Lonchura striata: one gene and its partner. The protein of the gene in region 1 interacts with the protein of each later gene in a pairwise test. Links are inferred from orthologs where the notes say so. Each region holds a gene or a part of one and is shown on either strand. Other genes may lie near its edges.

The links. The genes of interacting proteins can lie anywhere in the genome.
Region 2: the proteins of GNL3 (region 1) and NPM1 interact in a two-hybrid assay, tested with the Homo sapiens proteins (2 studies listed by BioGRID, with this or other methods). The link is inferred for Lonchura striata from reciprocal best matches to the Homo sapiens genes GNL3 and NPM1.

Annotation. Positions count from the first base shown.
Region 1 is NC_134614.1:9,332,938-9,340,362, reverse strand, and holds the start of GNL3 (guanine nucleotide-binding protein-like 3), read left to right. Parts: upstream 1-4,387; 5' UTR 4,388-4,428; coding exon 4,429-4,441; intron 4,442-4,637; coding exon 4,638-4,696; intron 4,697-4,821; coding exon 4,822-4,959; intron 4,960-5,542; coding exon 5,543-5,656; intron 5,657-5,815; coding exon 5,816-5,899; intron 5,900-6,161; coding exon 6,162-6,297; intron 6,298-6,352; exon of another isoform or gene 6,353-6,425; intron 6,426-6,749; coding exon 6,750-6,853; intron 6,854-7,115; coding exon 7,116-7,251; intron 7,252-7,425. Other genes in the region: PBRM1 (protein polybromo-1), read right to left, coding at 674-829, 1,749-1,796. UniProt on the Homo sapiens protein: May be required to maintain the proliferative capacity of stem cells. Stabilizes MDM2 by preventing its ubiquitination, and hence proteasomal degradation.
Region 2 is NC_134617.1:17,420,585-17,427,989, forward strand, and holds the start of NPM1 (nucleophosmin), read right to left. Parts: upstream 3,047-7,405; 5' UTR 2,946-3,046; coding exon 2,882-2,945; intron 2,193-2,881; coding exon 2,113-2,192; intron 1-2,112. UniProt on the Homo sapiens protein: Involved in diverse cellular processes such as ribosome biogenesis, centrosome duplication, protein chaperoning, histone assembly, cell proliferation, and regulation of tumor suppressors p53/TP53 and ARF.

The sequences.
Region 1 (7,425 bases):
CAAGCTGCCAATCCATAGTATGCCCTAAAGCAGAAGTGAGAAGCAACTGAAGCGCCACCTCACACTTTAGCAGGATACCTTACAAGTGTGCCAGGTACTGTATGATCTCCATTTATTTTTTGAACATAGGTAGCTTTATTTCAATGCTAATTCTAAGCAAAACACCCAAAATGTAAATTAATTCAGTGCAATTCTCTCCAAGTTACAGGCATCTACAATAACAAGGGTTCTTCTGCCCTACAGTTAATTAACATTAGACTGCTCATGCAATGGCATAGCAGAGGCATTGTACACTTCAGCAATCACTGCCTGTGCCATTCCCCACTCATCCCTCTGCATTTGCTATGCAGACACAGCTCTCAACTTCTGCACATTATGATTTCAGCTCATTCTCCAACTTCCTTCCATCTGCTAAAATCATCAGCAAAAACAAAATAGCAAAGACAAAACAGCAAAGAAAAACATGAAAGTGGTAAGCCAGGACCAAGCCAAAGCCGAAGCTGAATGAGGTCCTAAACAAAATTCAGCCAAGGCTGGAATAGATTCAGGACCAGTGTGCATGTGCTACATATGGTCATTGATTTTACAGTCCAGCATGTTCCAGACAGACTGTTTCTTGGTGATACAATATCCCCCCCCCAAAAAAAGGTGCAGTCAGTAAGAAAGTACTAACAGGATCTACAGTTGGGAGATTGGAAAGTCTCCTCCTCTTCCTGCTTGGGCCTGGTACATTGGTGGAGTGATGGGCATCATCGAAGTCGCCGCCACTGACGCTGCTGGAAGGAGAGGTGGCTCTTCGCCTCTTGGAACCCATGGAATCCAACTTCTTCTATAATGAACAGAAACATCCTTAAAGCCCTGCCATTGCATCCCAACCCTCTGCTGAGAGCTACCCACACAATTCCCAAGAGTAAAGGAAATCAAAATGCTCCTACAGTTTTATAGTCACCAATGATAGCAAGGCCAGAAACCCCCAAGCTCACACTCACTGAATTAGAAATTCTTCACATAATATGTTCTTAAACTCTCTACATTTTCATACCCCATCCCATGCGCAAAAACTAAGCAAGAGCCACTGTTTTCAACAAAAAAGCTGTACAGAGACACATGCTCAGTTCTGGTGTAAAAACACTTAATTCCACGGCAAAGTACAAAACCACAAAAAACAGACCAAAAAAGAAAAAAAAACAACCAACCAAAACAAATTACAAATGAAAAGGGCCACACAATACCTTGTGTTATGTTCAAGAGAAAAAAAGGACTGGATCGCCATGGGACTGCCCACTCCCACTTTATGTGTGGGATGAATGGCTCAACCATGGAGAAACAGAAAAAGCTCCCTCCTCTTCTGGCCATAGTTTTGCATTTACCAACACAAGCAGTGACAAATGAATAACCACCATCCAACAACTATGGTAATTTATGGAACAAGTTATTGGCTCTTTCCCAACTTCCAGTGACAGCATCAGAAACGTATCTTTATTTGTGGCTATCTCAAAGGCTGAGCACAGAACAGATGCATCTATCCCAGCCCATCCCCATTTTCCAACCAAATCCAGGGATTTCTTTCAGGAGGCACTCAGATGGTTGACAAGGTATGGCAGCACGAGGTAACTGCATTAAAGCATTTCTCTTAGAGACAACTTCAGGCACACACATGAGATGAGTAAGGTAGGAATAATTAACAGCTAGGAAAAAGAAAAGCAAAAGGCCAAGGCAGAGGGATGGAGATACAATCAATAATTTACCAGATTTACCAGAGTAGAACCAGCACCTCGAAAAGCCAATCTCCTCATAGTGTCTGATGGGCAAGCACAGATACTGCGAGAAGGGGACACTCTAAGAGTGGCAAACCAGTAATGGTGTTAGTACAGCCACAACTGGAAGACAAGAAAAAGCAAAGAGAGAGAGAAGAAAATTCAGACTAGGTAGATAAAGAATAAAATCAAAGAATAAAGTGGATAATTACAGTGACAGAGAAAAAAAGCAAGAAACAGAAGGCAACTTTTTATAGCCCAGCAGAAACTCTACAAAGTAATTCTGTACACAGAATGCTAGACACTTCTGTCATTGTCACAGTAAAAATACATTTCTCTCATGTTCCTGAATATGCATTACAGATTTCACCGCCACTTGCTAGAGAATGATTCATCAAGAGCAGAAAGTAAACAGAAGTGATACCTGACCTGAGAGTACAAACCAGAAAGCTGTAAAACTTACAGAATGCAAAGCAGTACAGTGCTTATAAGAACATAATCTTAAGGTCAACAAGCATTTATTAAACTCTAAGATGATGCACCTCCAAAATTCTTCAGAGTAGACTTTTATACTCAGAAGTAAGCAGTAAGTATGCAGCCATACGCTAAAAAAAAAAAAAAAGTTTCAATTTCTAAGCCTCCAAGCCTTATTTTTTTCACAGAAATTCCATGTGAAATACACAGAACCATTTAATAGCAAAATGTTTGCTTCTGCGTAGTTCTTCCAACTCCTGCCTTCAATCAAACCCCAGAGAGGTTCTTTTACAGTTCAGCACTCTGAACATTCTCGTAACATGAACATGCAGAGAAGCTCTGTGGTTTATCAGCAGGCAATTCATTTTGGGAACTGACAACAGCCTCAAGCCTTGGCACAGCCTCCAACTTCCATCTGAGGGCTACAGTCTGGAGTGGCTCCACCAGGCAGGTGCTGGGAAACACAAGCCCTTGGTTGTGGAGGAAAGGCAGGAGGGACTACCAGAATCAATAATTCTGCTTCAACCAGGAACCCAAGAGTACACTCAGACCAGTCCCATCCTGAAATAAAGATCTGGGAAGCTCCCAACCAGAACTGCCTGCAGACTGTACATCAGCTGCTCCATGTGTACTGTCCGGGGCACAATGCTGTGGATCTCAGCCATACTCTGACACTGCTGTGATCAAGGTACCCTCACCACTCACACAGCCTCCAAAACACGTTTTTCTCCTCTAATAACCCTGTAAAACATGCATCAGTCTGGACAACATCACAAACACTCAGGGAGAGACCTGCTGATGTACCACTCACTGAAGGTGAGGCTCCAAAACACAAACTTCTTCCTAAACTGCCACACTCCTAAGCACAGAGAACTCAGCTGTGCACAGAAACACAGCTTTGCTGAAGAACCTCTCTCCCTGAGTTTCTTCTGCAATTGCACTGCTGGCTCACAGGTCTCTCAACAGTCACACCAAGAATCTCCACTGCTACCACTGACCACCTCCAATTCAACAGCAGCTTGAGCATCTCCTCGGTAATTGCCCCCACCAGCCATAAAAATGTCACAAAACCACAGCAAGAAAGGCTTTGGCCATTACTAATTCACATGTATACTGATATACACAACGGGGGGAAGGAAGGAAGGCTGTCCCTCCCAAAAGCTGTAGGGAAGGACCACAACAAGTGTCACCCACTCCAACCTCCCTACACCCACAGGTTTTACACTCGTCGGACATAACACACTTAAAATAAAACGTTCTAACACACTAGAGGTTCATTTTCTGCCTCCAGGCAGAGGAAAGCGAAAAGCCAACAGATACCACGGGTAGTACTTATTGCTATCAGGATCTCCCACGTTTCACCAGAAACACGAAACACGGTAAATTTAGCAAAGGGAACAGGGGAGGGAAACGCAAAGGGAACAGGGGAGGGAAAAGCCGGAATTTCCCCCGGTTACCGATCCCATTGAAAGCTGCTACGGGATGGGAAGAGGGGGCTGGCAGCAGCCAGGCACGGTAACAGGGCAAAGCTGACGGGAAAGCGAGAGGGACAACACATCCATCGTTTTACCGGCACCGGGACAAGGAACAAAGGCAGCAAATCCGGAACTGCCCGAGGCGCCGGAGCCCTGCCCGGGAGGTGAGGCGCTATCCCCGGCAGGAAACAAAGAAAAGCCTTTCCCGGCACCGGGCGGCCAGGACGGGGTCCCGGGCCCGCCCCGCGGGGCACGACCCGCCGCGCTCAGCGCGCGGGCCCGGGCGGCGCCGGCACGGGAACACGGCGGGAGCGGGGCGGGGAGGAGGGGCTGAGGCGCACCCGGGCCCGGGCAGGTGACGGGGGCCGGCGGCGCTCGGTGCCCCGGGCCCGGCGCGCCGGGGCCGCTGCGCGCTCGGGCGGCGCCGCCACACAAAGGGAGGCAGCGGCCTCCAAGCTCCGGCCCGCGCCCCGCCCGCGCCGCTCACCCCGCCGGCTCCGCTCCGCCTCCCGCAGCCGCGGCCGACCCGGGGTGGGTGCGCGGGGTCCGCCCGGCCCGGCCCGTCCCGCCGGTACCGCCCGTCCGACACCGCCGGTGCCGCCGCCGCCGCTGCCGCAAAGCGCGCCCGGCCGCCCAACGCGCCGAGCCCGCGCGACACCCCGGCGGGGCAGCGCCGGCGCGCTTTACGGCAGCGCCCGCCGGCGGGAGCACGTGGCGGCGCCATGAAGCGGCCGAGTGAGCGCCGGGAGCGGCTCCGGGACGGGCACGGGCACGGGCACCGAGCGGGCGGGAACGGCACGGGGAGGGCGCGGGCGGCGGCCCGGCACCGGGGGGCGGCGGCCGCCCGTGGCCGAGCGAGCGGCAGCGGTGGAGGAGGCGGGAGTCGGGGCCGGGGGATGTTTGCGGCGCTGACGGGCGCGGTGCGTTGCAGAGCTGCGGAAGGCGAGCAAGAGGCTGAGCTGCCACAAGCGCTACAAGATCCAGAAGAAGGTGAGGCCCGGCCCAGCGCGGCCCCCGCGCCGCGTTCGGCGATTTTGGGGCCGCTGCGCTGAAGTTTTGGGCCTCAGAGTGAGAACGTTTCTTGTGCCTGCCCTCATTTCTTGTGCTTCCCTCAGATAAGAGAACACCACCGGAAAGTCCGCAAGGAGGCCAAGAAACGCGGCCACAAGAAGCCCAAGAAAGACCCCGGAATTCCCAGTGCTGCGCCGTTTAAGGAAGAGCTGCTGCGGGAAGCGGAGCAAAGAAAGCAGAGGGTAAAACACAGTTTTCGGTAAAGAGAACAAGAACTGAGAGCATCCCCTTCTGTAAGGAAGCTTTGTGTGCACTCAGAGGAGCAGTCATGGTAGATGGTCCCAGCAAACTCGTGCTTTGGAAAAATGATGTATTTATTTCCAGCACCGTACCGTGTGCATTGATTTGCTCTTTTATTTTTAACCTTCGTTTCCTCACTGGGATGGGAGCATGCTGGAAGTGTCTTTTCTAATGCAGTCAGAATTCCCTGTGGTGCTGGGATACAGAAATGTCCCATCAGAGTGCTGGGAGTTAAATCATGGCATTATGTGATTACACAGAAAATCGGGATCTGCTGTCTGCAGTGTGCACTAATGTGGCATTTGTCAGCTGTAGTGGTGGCTGCAGCGCTGCTGTTCTGGGATCAAGCAAATGCATGGCTGCCTCTGGGTAGGATGCAAAAAAAGAGTTCCCAGAGTTACTTGGACAGCCAGGACTTCTAACTGAGCTGGCTCAGGAGCTTGGGTCAGGAATGGGGAGAAAGAACATTCTTCCTTAGCACCTTCGAAGATGTTTTATCTGCCCTGGGTTTTTGTTTGTGATCAGCTTGAAGAACTGAAACAAAAGCAGAAGCTCAATAGACAGAAAGAACATGAAAAGAAGAGGAAGCTGGAAGCTAAAAAGAATGCAGTCACAATCAAGGAGAAAGCAGAGGGAAAGGTAGGGGTCCTGTATGATTTTGATTCCTTGAACCTGGAGAAGTCATCCTGAAACTGCACCTTCTTAAGCAGCAGTTTACATTTTCATGCTGAATATGCACACAAGTAGTAGACACTAATTCTCATTTAAATAATTTCCTTTTGTTTTTATTTGCTTTAGGACTCCCCTGGCAAATCTAAAGGAAAGACTAAAAAACCACTGAATAAAAATTCTAAGAAATCATTCTGCAGGGAGCTTATGAAGGTGAAATGCTTTAACTATTTTTTTTATCATTAGATATAGATATATAGATATTTTATATCACTAAAGAGTCAGCAATAAGATCACTTGTTATTTTGCTTTTTTTGTATTACTGTTTAGAGCACAAAGTTTGTCTGTGATAAACTAGAACACTGATGGGATTTTACAACAGAAAATGTTAACTATTTTTGTAAGCCACAGCTATAGCAGAATTGTAATCTGGTCTGTGATGTCTTGTTGGATTCCTGTCTTTTTTCTGACCCAGGTGCTTGAGGCCTCAGATGTAGTTCTGGAGGTTTTGGATGCCAGAGATCCAATGGGCTGCAGGTGTCCTCAGCTGGAGCAAGCTGTCACTTCCTCTGGAGGGAACAAAAAGCTGCTCTTGGTTCTGAACAAAATTGGTAAGAAACACAGGTTTTCTCAAAGTGTTACTGGCACTGTGTTTCTGTGGTGGGTGAGCTATGAAGATTTTAAAGGAATCTGAGATTCCATTGAAGACATGAGATCCAACTCTGAGCTCACTACAAAGGCTGGAAATTACCCAGTACCAGTAGCTAATTAAAGAAAACAAAATACCAAGAGCAACAAGAAGAGCAAAGGGAACTCTGTGGTAGAAGTCAGAATCTTTCACAGATCATTCTGTACCATGCAAAGTCTTCTAGCCAGAGCCCAGCATTAAAAGCCTAATACAGAGGCCAGAAATGTAATTGTGATATGTTCTGCTAAGGCAGAAAGAGAGACTCTGTGTGCCTTTGGGGAAGGTATCCAGTACTTCATATTAGAGTTCTCAGCCAAATGGTATTTGTCATGATAGGATTAATTTAAGGAGTGAAAGAACTGCTCTTCTTTCCAGATTTGGTGCCAAAGAACAACATAGAGAAATGGTTGAATTATTTGAAGAAGGAGTTTCCAACAGTTGCTTTTAAGTCAGCAACAATTATGAAGGACAAGACTATGGTAAGAGCACTGCAGGCTGTCCCACGAAAAGTTCATGTGTTTGCAGTCATACATGTTGGAACATCTTTAAAATTCCTTTCTCCCTGGTTTGGTTGCACTTTTTGGTTGATGGATGTGCCTTTACACTTCAATTGAGCTTTGCAATACAGTGGGAGAATTCTTAGCACGGAAATTACAGTAGATTAATAAATCTAAGTATCCATATTTTATCTTCCTTAATAGCTCCTGACCATGGGCTTTTTTTTGCCTTTGAATCTGGTAGCAGGAACAGGTCACAAAAAGACATGCACGTGTTGATTTCGCAGAAACCACTCAGTATTTTGGAAGCAAATGCCTTTTGAAGCTTCTTCAAGGGTATGGCAAGACCCAAGACAAAGCCATTCAGGTTGGGGTTGTAGGTAAGTGTTTGGAGAAACAGGAGGAGTTTCTTTCTCCTATAAAGCTTTGGGATCCTGTATTCCTGGACTGGGTAAAACTGCTGACACCTGGTTTGCTAATGAGCTTTCTAGTCACTGTTCTTTGCTCCAAGACTCTCAGTGTTGTAGTGCTTCAGCTGCCAGGGATCCATGGTG
Region 2 (7,405 bases), on another chromosome or scaffold:
TACAACTATTCCCAACAGCAGTGCACAAAGGCTCTGTGTTTCCTTTCCTGAAACCCCTCACAAGAAATCTTTCCAACCCCCACAGGAGATGTAGGTGTGAACACTTCAGGCAGAGGCACGGAAGTTTCCATTCTTCAAGAGCTGAGCTTTAATGAGACTGTAATTGTCCAGATTTAGATGTATCAGACTGAAGGCTGGAAAACAGAACACTGGATTCACTACTGGCAAATTTTGTTATTAGCAATTCAAAGAGGTGAAATTGCAGCTCTGATCTCACCTCTCAAATGTGCTGTCAACAACACTGAATTGCTCAGCTAGTGGGACAAAAATTTTAGTGCATACCCTGTCATTTGCCCTAGTTTAATACTATAGCAGTTATTTGTGATTTATTTCTCTGTGTTTGGCAAGCATCCATGCCTGTGCTTTAACTTCTATATTGAAGGAATGCACACCAAATAGGTGATGAATCAGTGACCATCCCTATACACAACTGTCATTAGTAAGACATTTACAGAAACTCATGGCACTTTTACCTCCTACATTTATCCACCTCTTTTCCCTTTTACCCTTTTCTTCCCATCTTGCTGTACCTCATGCCCAAGTCCCCCACTGCATTTGTATTTTAACACTGTCTTTACTCATCTAGGCTTTTATCGGGAGCATAGACCAGCCCGCAGGTTTTTGCCGCCTTTACCTTTTTTTAAGTCCTTCCTCTACTCAACAAGGTCTTTTGTTTAAACCATGTCTGAGACCCTCCAAGTATCTTAAACATTTCCTAGTTTGTCCTTTGGTATCTTAACCCTTTCTCCAGTGCATCATCCCTTTTTATTCTATGGAAAGAAGTTACTGACAGAAGATTAATTCCCCCCACAAGCCTAGCAACAAAGTAGTGGTGAGGATTGATCTGCTTCATCCATCTGTACAACATCAGAAGAAATGCTACAATTAATTTTGAAAGTATAAATAGAAAAGGAACTCTTGAGTAAAACAATACAATTTAAGTATCACTAATTTTGGCTATGTAACAAATATTCAGATACAAGAAATCTGCATGTGGACTTGCCCTATACATTGCTATGTTCTTCCATCAAAAGGAATTGTAATTAACAACAAATTACTCTTTGTCAAGTCCAGGCTGTACTTTTCATAATATAGTATGGAAAACACATGACTCACATAAAAAAAAGAAGTGTTTTAAGTAACACCATTAAGTGTTTGGAGATACTCATTATGCAAGTGACCTCCAGGAATCAATTCTCCTGTAGGAATTAGTCAACAATTTTAAGACTTTCTTCTTCCAGGCATCAAAGCATTTCCTTGCATTTAAATAAACACAGGAACATGCCATGAAGATGCTACAACTCTTTAATTTCTTGACGGCTAAGACAGTGCACATTATTGATTTGCTACCCAAAAAAAACATGATCAGCCAAGAACAAAAGCCTTGAAATATTGTGTCTGACTTGTGTGGCCTCAGGAAGCTCCAAGGACCCACCCAAGAACTCCTGGGAGTCTGCTAGATGAATTATCTGAATGAAAGATGGGGCTTCCCAGTTACATCCTTGGAAAGGCCAAACCAAGGACAGTAAGTCAAAACATAAACCTTCTGCTGTCTAATTTAGATTTACTTATTATCTGCTTCTGGGAAAGAGAGAGTTAGAGTCAGCTTATGGAACACACTGAAATGGTTTTCAAAATCAGGTTTATAGTAGTCCACAAGAGTGTGCCTATGTATGACTCTTACACATCTATCTTTCTCCCTCTGCTCCTGTAGCATCTGCATTATTTACCTTAGGGATGCCTCATGTATAGCCTAAATTCTCAATTTAGCAGATATTTACTAGCTAACTGTAAGTTGATTTTTAACGTTTTCCAGCCTTGCATTTGTTTGCTGTGAATGAAACATCAGTGAAGAAATGTTTTCAATACAGAAAATATCTGAAATTACAGAATATGCCCCACTGCTAGTAAGAGATGTTTACTTTATACAGATTTACATATCAATTATCACCTGAATTATGTTTGGAGAAATAAATGACACGTTAAAAAACACACCATCACAGCACACCAGTATATTTAAATGGGAAGCAAAAAAAAACAAACACTACTTGCCGTTCTTAGTGACAACTGATGTTCGTTTTCTTCATCATCTACTTTGAACTGAAACTCCTTATCTGCTTTAAGCTCGCAGCCTGTAAAACAATCCAATTATAAGCCTCCTGCTTTATTTAAAACAGCATTACTTGGCAGCTTGCTGCTCCCAGGCCGCGTACTCGCAGGGAAGTAGCGGCACGCTGCGGGCACGCAAGGAGCGGAACACGTGGGGTGAAGAAAACCCCGCGCGAGTGCGCGGCCTGCTGGCGGCCACGCAGCTCCCCGCACGGCCCGGTTAAACCCAGCAGCTTCCAGAGCATCCCCGCCCAGCGTCCGCCGCGGTGCCCGGGACGATGGCACCTCCGGAACCGCCGCCGTGGCGGCCGGGCCTGCCCCGGAGCAGCAAGGCGCGCGCGGCCGCGGCGCTCCACGTGCTCCGCCTCCGGCCGCGCTGCCACGTGCTCCGCGGGCGCTGCCGGGGCGCCGCATCCTTAGGAACGGCGGGACACACCGCGAACAAAGCGCGGAACAGAGCGCGACGGGCCCCGCCACGTGCGGGCCGCGCGCCACGTGCGGAGTGCGCGGAAGCGGCCGCCGCACGCCCCCGGCCCCGCCCGAGCCCCCGGCCGAGCCCCCGGTCCCGCCCGAGCCCCCGGCCCCGCCGCGCGCGCGGAGCGGCGGCGCTCGGCCGGCACAGGCCGCGGCCCCGCACGGCGCTCGGCCCCGGGGCCTGCGGGGGCGACGGGGCCAGCGGGCCCCAGGAAAGCGTGGCCGCGGCGAGCGTTACCGAAGAGGAAGGTCTGCGGGCGCAGGGGGCCCATGCTCTCCATGTCCATGGCGCTGTCCTCCATCGCGGGGCTGGGGCACGACCGACCGGGAACACTACGCTTCGGGTGGACGCGCACTAAAGGAAGCCTCGCGCCCGCCCACTCGCTGATATAGCCTCGTGTTCTCGCGAGAGCCGCGCGCTGGGCCCGTCCCTCGGCGCCCCGCGCCGCCCTTGCGCACGCACGCTGACGGTGGTCGCGCGCGGGCCGCCAGGGGGCGGGGCCATGGCCGTGGCCGTGGCCGTGTGAGGGGCCGAGCCCGCCGCGCCCGCAGGGCCCGCGGCCGCCGCCGGGGAGCCGCGGGGAGCCGCGGGGAGCCGCGCCACACGTGGGGCAGAGCCGTGGGTGCGGACCGCAGCGTTCCGCTCCCGGCCGCGCAGCACGCGCGGACAGCGAAGGGGCGCGGCCGCGGCCCGGGCCCGGCTCAGAGCTTGCAGCCGCGCCGGCCCGAGCGGCTCCCCGGCCGCAGAGCCGTGCTGCGGTGCAACGCGCCCTGCTCGCTCTGTGGCGGCAGCTGGCTGCTGCTGCCATCTCTGACTAAAATCATACAGGAACGAAAGCAGCTCCCTTCCTGTGCGTTGCCTGTCAGGATGGGCTCCCATCCCGAGCTACTGCTCCCTGCGCCACTGGCTCTGAAGGCCAGGGACAACAACACTCTGGGAACCTCCTTTTCAGCTGGCGGATGATGGGGGCAAACCACTTTTTAATGTGAAATTAGCGCACGGGGAAAGCTGTCACAACAAAGTTAAAAGTTCTAGGGTTATTTTATACGTAGATCTACTAGTCCTGGAAGCACTTGTTTGCCACCGTGGTGGGAGCCCATCACTGCCCCTGGGCTGGGTTCATCATCCACACATCCCAGGCCATCGTGTCCTGGGGCTGATCTGCACAAGGGTCACTTGTGTACTAATCTCACACTTACCTGAACACTTACTCTGCAAAAATAAAAGTTTATAGGCTCTTGGTGCTCTTACCTCCCTTCTGATTTGAAATGTGTAACTTGTAGAGTTACCTTCATTGGAATTCATAAAGGATCAACATTAAATGATGTTGCTGAAAATGAGACAAACTGAAGAATAACTGGCACAATGGGAAAATGAAACTTACGCTGTCAAAGACTCCCCTTCCTCGCTCTTCCATGAAGCTGGCCCCTTTGCAAACAGCAAATGCAGTTCCACAGGATACACATGGTTTCACCAGGATATGATCCCCTACCATCCTATTAACATTAGGGCAGGCTGTCCACTGAGGTGTTTCTGGTGGTTGCCACAGGCTGACCAAAATTCAATAATAGTTAAATTGTGTGTGAAAACAAGGTACAGGAATAAATTGGAGCACAGTTTAGCATATGAGTGAGGATGGATATTCTGTGATTCTGTGATTTACTCCCCTTAAAGTCTCACAAGGAACCAGAGAACAAACAGTGTTTATTTCATTTTCTAACATTTGGTTTGGTTAATTTCTTATTACCTTTACGAAGTAATTACTGCTGGGTAGGAAGAGTGGCAACTATGGGAAAATAGTTGCCACTATAGATACACCCTCAGCTGCCCTAAGATACGCCCAGGGATCTGTGGAGCAGCAGAGGCAGAAATTCCAACAAGTGCAGTGGCTGGTGTCCCTGGCAGAGAGAGACATCATTAACTGATCAGACATCTCAGCCTTAAAAGCTGCAAAGATGCAGATAAGGCATTTGTTTGGGCTGGATTGAAAATGGGAACTATTATCTAAATTTCAAATGAAGTTATGGCATGAGGCAGATGTCAGACTGGAGCTGGAAGGTGAATCCTACACAGTAATAGTGGAAGGGAGTGAATTGCATTTACCTGTAGTGCCAGCAGGAGGACATGGCTGCTGGCCAAAGCCACCAAAAGTCCTGCCCCGCAGGGCACTGAGCAGCTCACAAACTGCAGCTCCAGAAGTCCACCTGGGTCTGCTGAAGGGAACAGTGGAACCACAGCAGATTCTCCTGTCTGCAGAGTCACGTTCAATACAATTACAGTCTTCCTTTATGGAGGAAATAAATGTGGGAGGAACACACACAGAGAAGAAAAGCAGGGGTAGGAAGTAGGAGATATATGCTTACTGTGTCTCATTTGGCTCCATAGGGATTTAGAAGGGTTGTCATATATCATGACATTTATTATTTCTGCCATGGTACTACGATGAGAAGTCCATTACAATATCGATCATTTTATTTTGCTTGGCTCTGTGCTGTGTAATACTCGGCATGGCAGAAAAGGCTTACAAGTGATTTAGAAACAGCCATACAGGGACAACTAGGAGAAAATCAGAACTTTGCTTAATGGAATTCTCTTTTTAGTGAACATGTACAAAATTCAGGAAATTTTATGTTGAGCATGATTAAAACCACAGTGCAGTTGTAATCAAACGATCAGAAGGTATAGAGACAGTAAAGATTTCCTATGCAATCTTAATTTCCATGCTGACGTAATGAAATAATCTTCAGCTGCCCTAGCCCATGGCTGTCACATAGCCTCTCCACTGGCCTCCCCCGCCCTTCACTAGTCAACAGTTTCTGTCCCAGGGCCAAAATCTTAACTGGCATCAAAACACCATTCTTGATCTCAAAAAAAGATCACTTGCACACCAGAAAATCCAAGTATTTCACTTTAGCCTGAAAGAACTGCATATTGCTGTCCCCAGATAGGGCAGCAAGAGGCAGGTGTTGGCTTTCCTGGTCCCATGAGCTGGGGCAGCAGCAGGAGCAATGTGCTGTCTAGGCACTGCAGGGGCAGCATGGACAGAGCCGCCTGGCTGGGTGCCAGCTGAACACCCTGAACACAGGTGAGAACTGCATCTCCTGGGGCTGCTTTGGGAGGATTTGACCTTGCATTTGTAATTTCCCTTCACCTCCAGGCTGGTTTGCAGCCAGCGCAGGACAAGGAGCTGGGATGGAGGGACCATCCTTACCTGGTTGTCTTCTTTCTTACCCACAATCTGCTTTTTGCTGCTGAACCTGCTGTAAGTAGCACTGGAAGTTTTCTCCATCTTCCCTCTTTCTGTAGTGCCTATTCCATCCCCAGCTTTGCCTGTAGCATATTACTCATGCAGAGCACCATAAAGAGCTGTATCAGAAGGTCCTTCAGCACCAAAGAATGCTGCATAAGGGAAGCAGAGGGAGTCTGGTGCCCCAGCTTCTGCTTATGGCAGCACAAGCCGGTGCTGCTCCATCTCTTCTATGGTTTTGCATAAAGCTTTGAGAGGATTCTTCTCCTATTAAGGCCCAGTTTCAGACATACAATTGTAAAAGAGAGGAATGGCAGGTGAGCCAGGATATCCACAGGGGAGGCACTCAGGTATTGCAGTGATGAAATGAAGTAAGGTTACACAGATAGATTACAGGTGTCAGTGTCCACAACAGTAAAAATTAAGATAGCCTGAAATGTCTCTATTTTTTTTTTTCTTTTTTCTTTAAATATTCAGTACAGAATAGCCTCTAGGTCCTGGCCATGACCCTTCCTGGCTATTGCAAAAATTAACACTGTCCTGACTGAAACTGGGAGAAAAATCAGGATACTTTAAAACTTTGTGTGTCCTGCAGGTCTCAAAGGTGAGGCCACTTCCCAGTAGGAGGAGTAGGAGTTTGGAGTTGGTGGGGCTGGCATGGGTCAGGAAGGGGGTGGCAGCAGAGATCTCCATCAGGCATGTGTCTGTAAGGCTGGCGAGGCAGACTGCACCTAACATCCTCTCCCCAGCGATGCCAGCTGCCCTTGTGCCACGAGCCACGACTCCCCTTGCAATATCATTTGCTGCTGTGTGCTGAAGCTATACCTGCTGCCAGCCCATGGCACTGCTCTGCTTGTTACACTCCATGAGCTTGATCCCAAAACAATGTTCTGCATCACTGCCAGGGTACATGAGTTCTGCTGAGCACTCATGGGCAGCCAGGGCCTTGGAGATGGGAGATAACACCTGATAGTCCACATCAAAGTAGCCTTTTCTGGTGGTCCCTTTTCACATCTACTCCTACTGCAGCACAAGCTTTGAAATATTGTCCCTGTTCCCCATGGTTCCTGCAGGGTGTAGAAGAGCAGACATAAGGCCATGGGGTGGGGCACAGCATGATCATGTCCAGTTCCTGATTTTCCTGTGTTTGTTATTCTCCATCTCTGAGACACCTTCCTGTGCAGCCCCCCGAAGTTACCAGGCTAGCCCACATCTGTAAGGCCTTGAGGGGAGAGTGTTCCAGGAGCTGGGTGAAGATTCCAAAAGAGGCTCCAACCCCCAATGTGGTCCAAGATGTTTATTCCATAGGAGGAAGAGGGAAAGAGAGAGAACCAGGAAGGGGCAGAGCCTTATCTAGGCTCAGTACAGTAAGGGCTACTTGGCTCCCAGCCAATTATGTCAGGAAAGGAAGGAAGGGTCAAACTAACAGGTCACAGCTACAGAGGTCTCTGGGGAGGGAGAAACCATTCCCCAGAGCAATACAACCCATTCTACAGCTTCACTGCCAGAGCCTG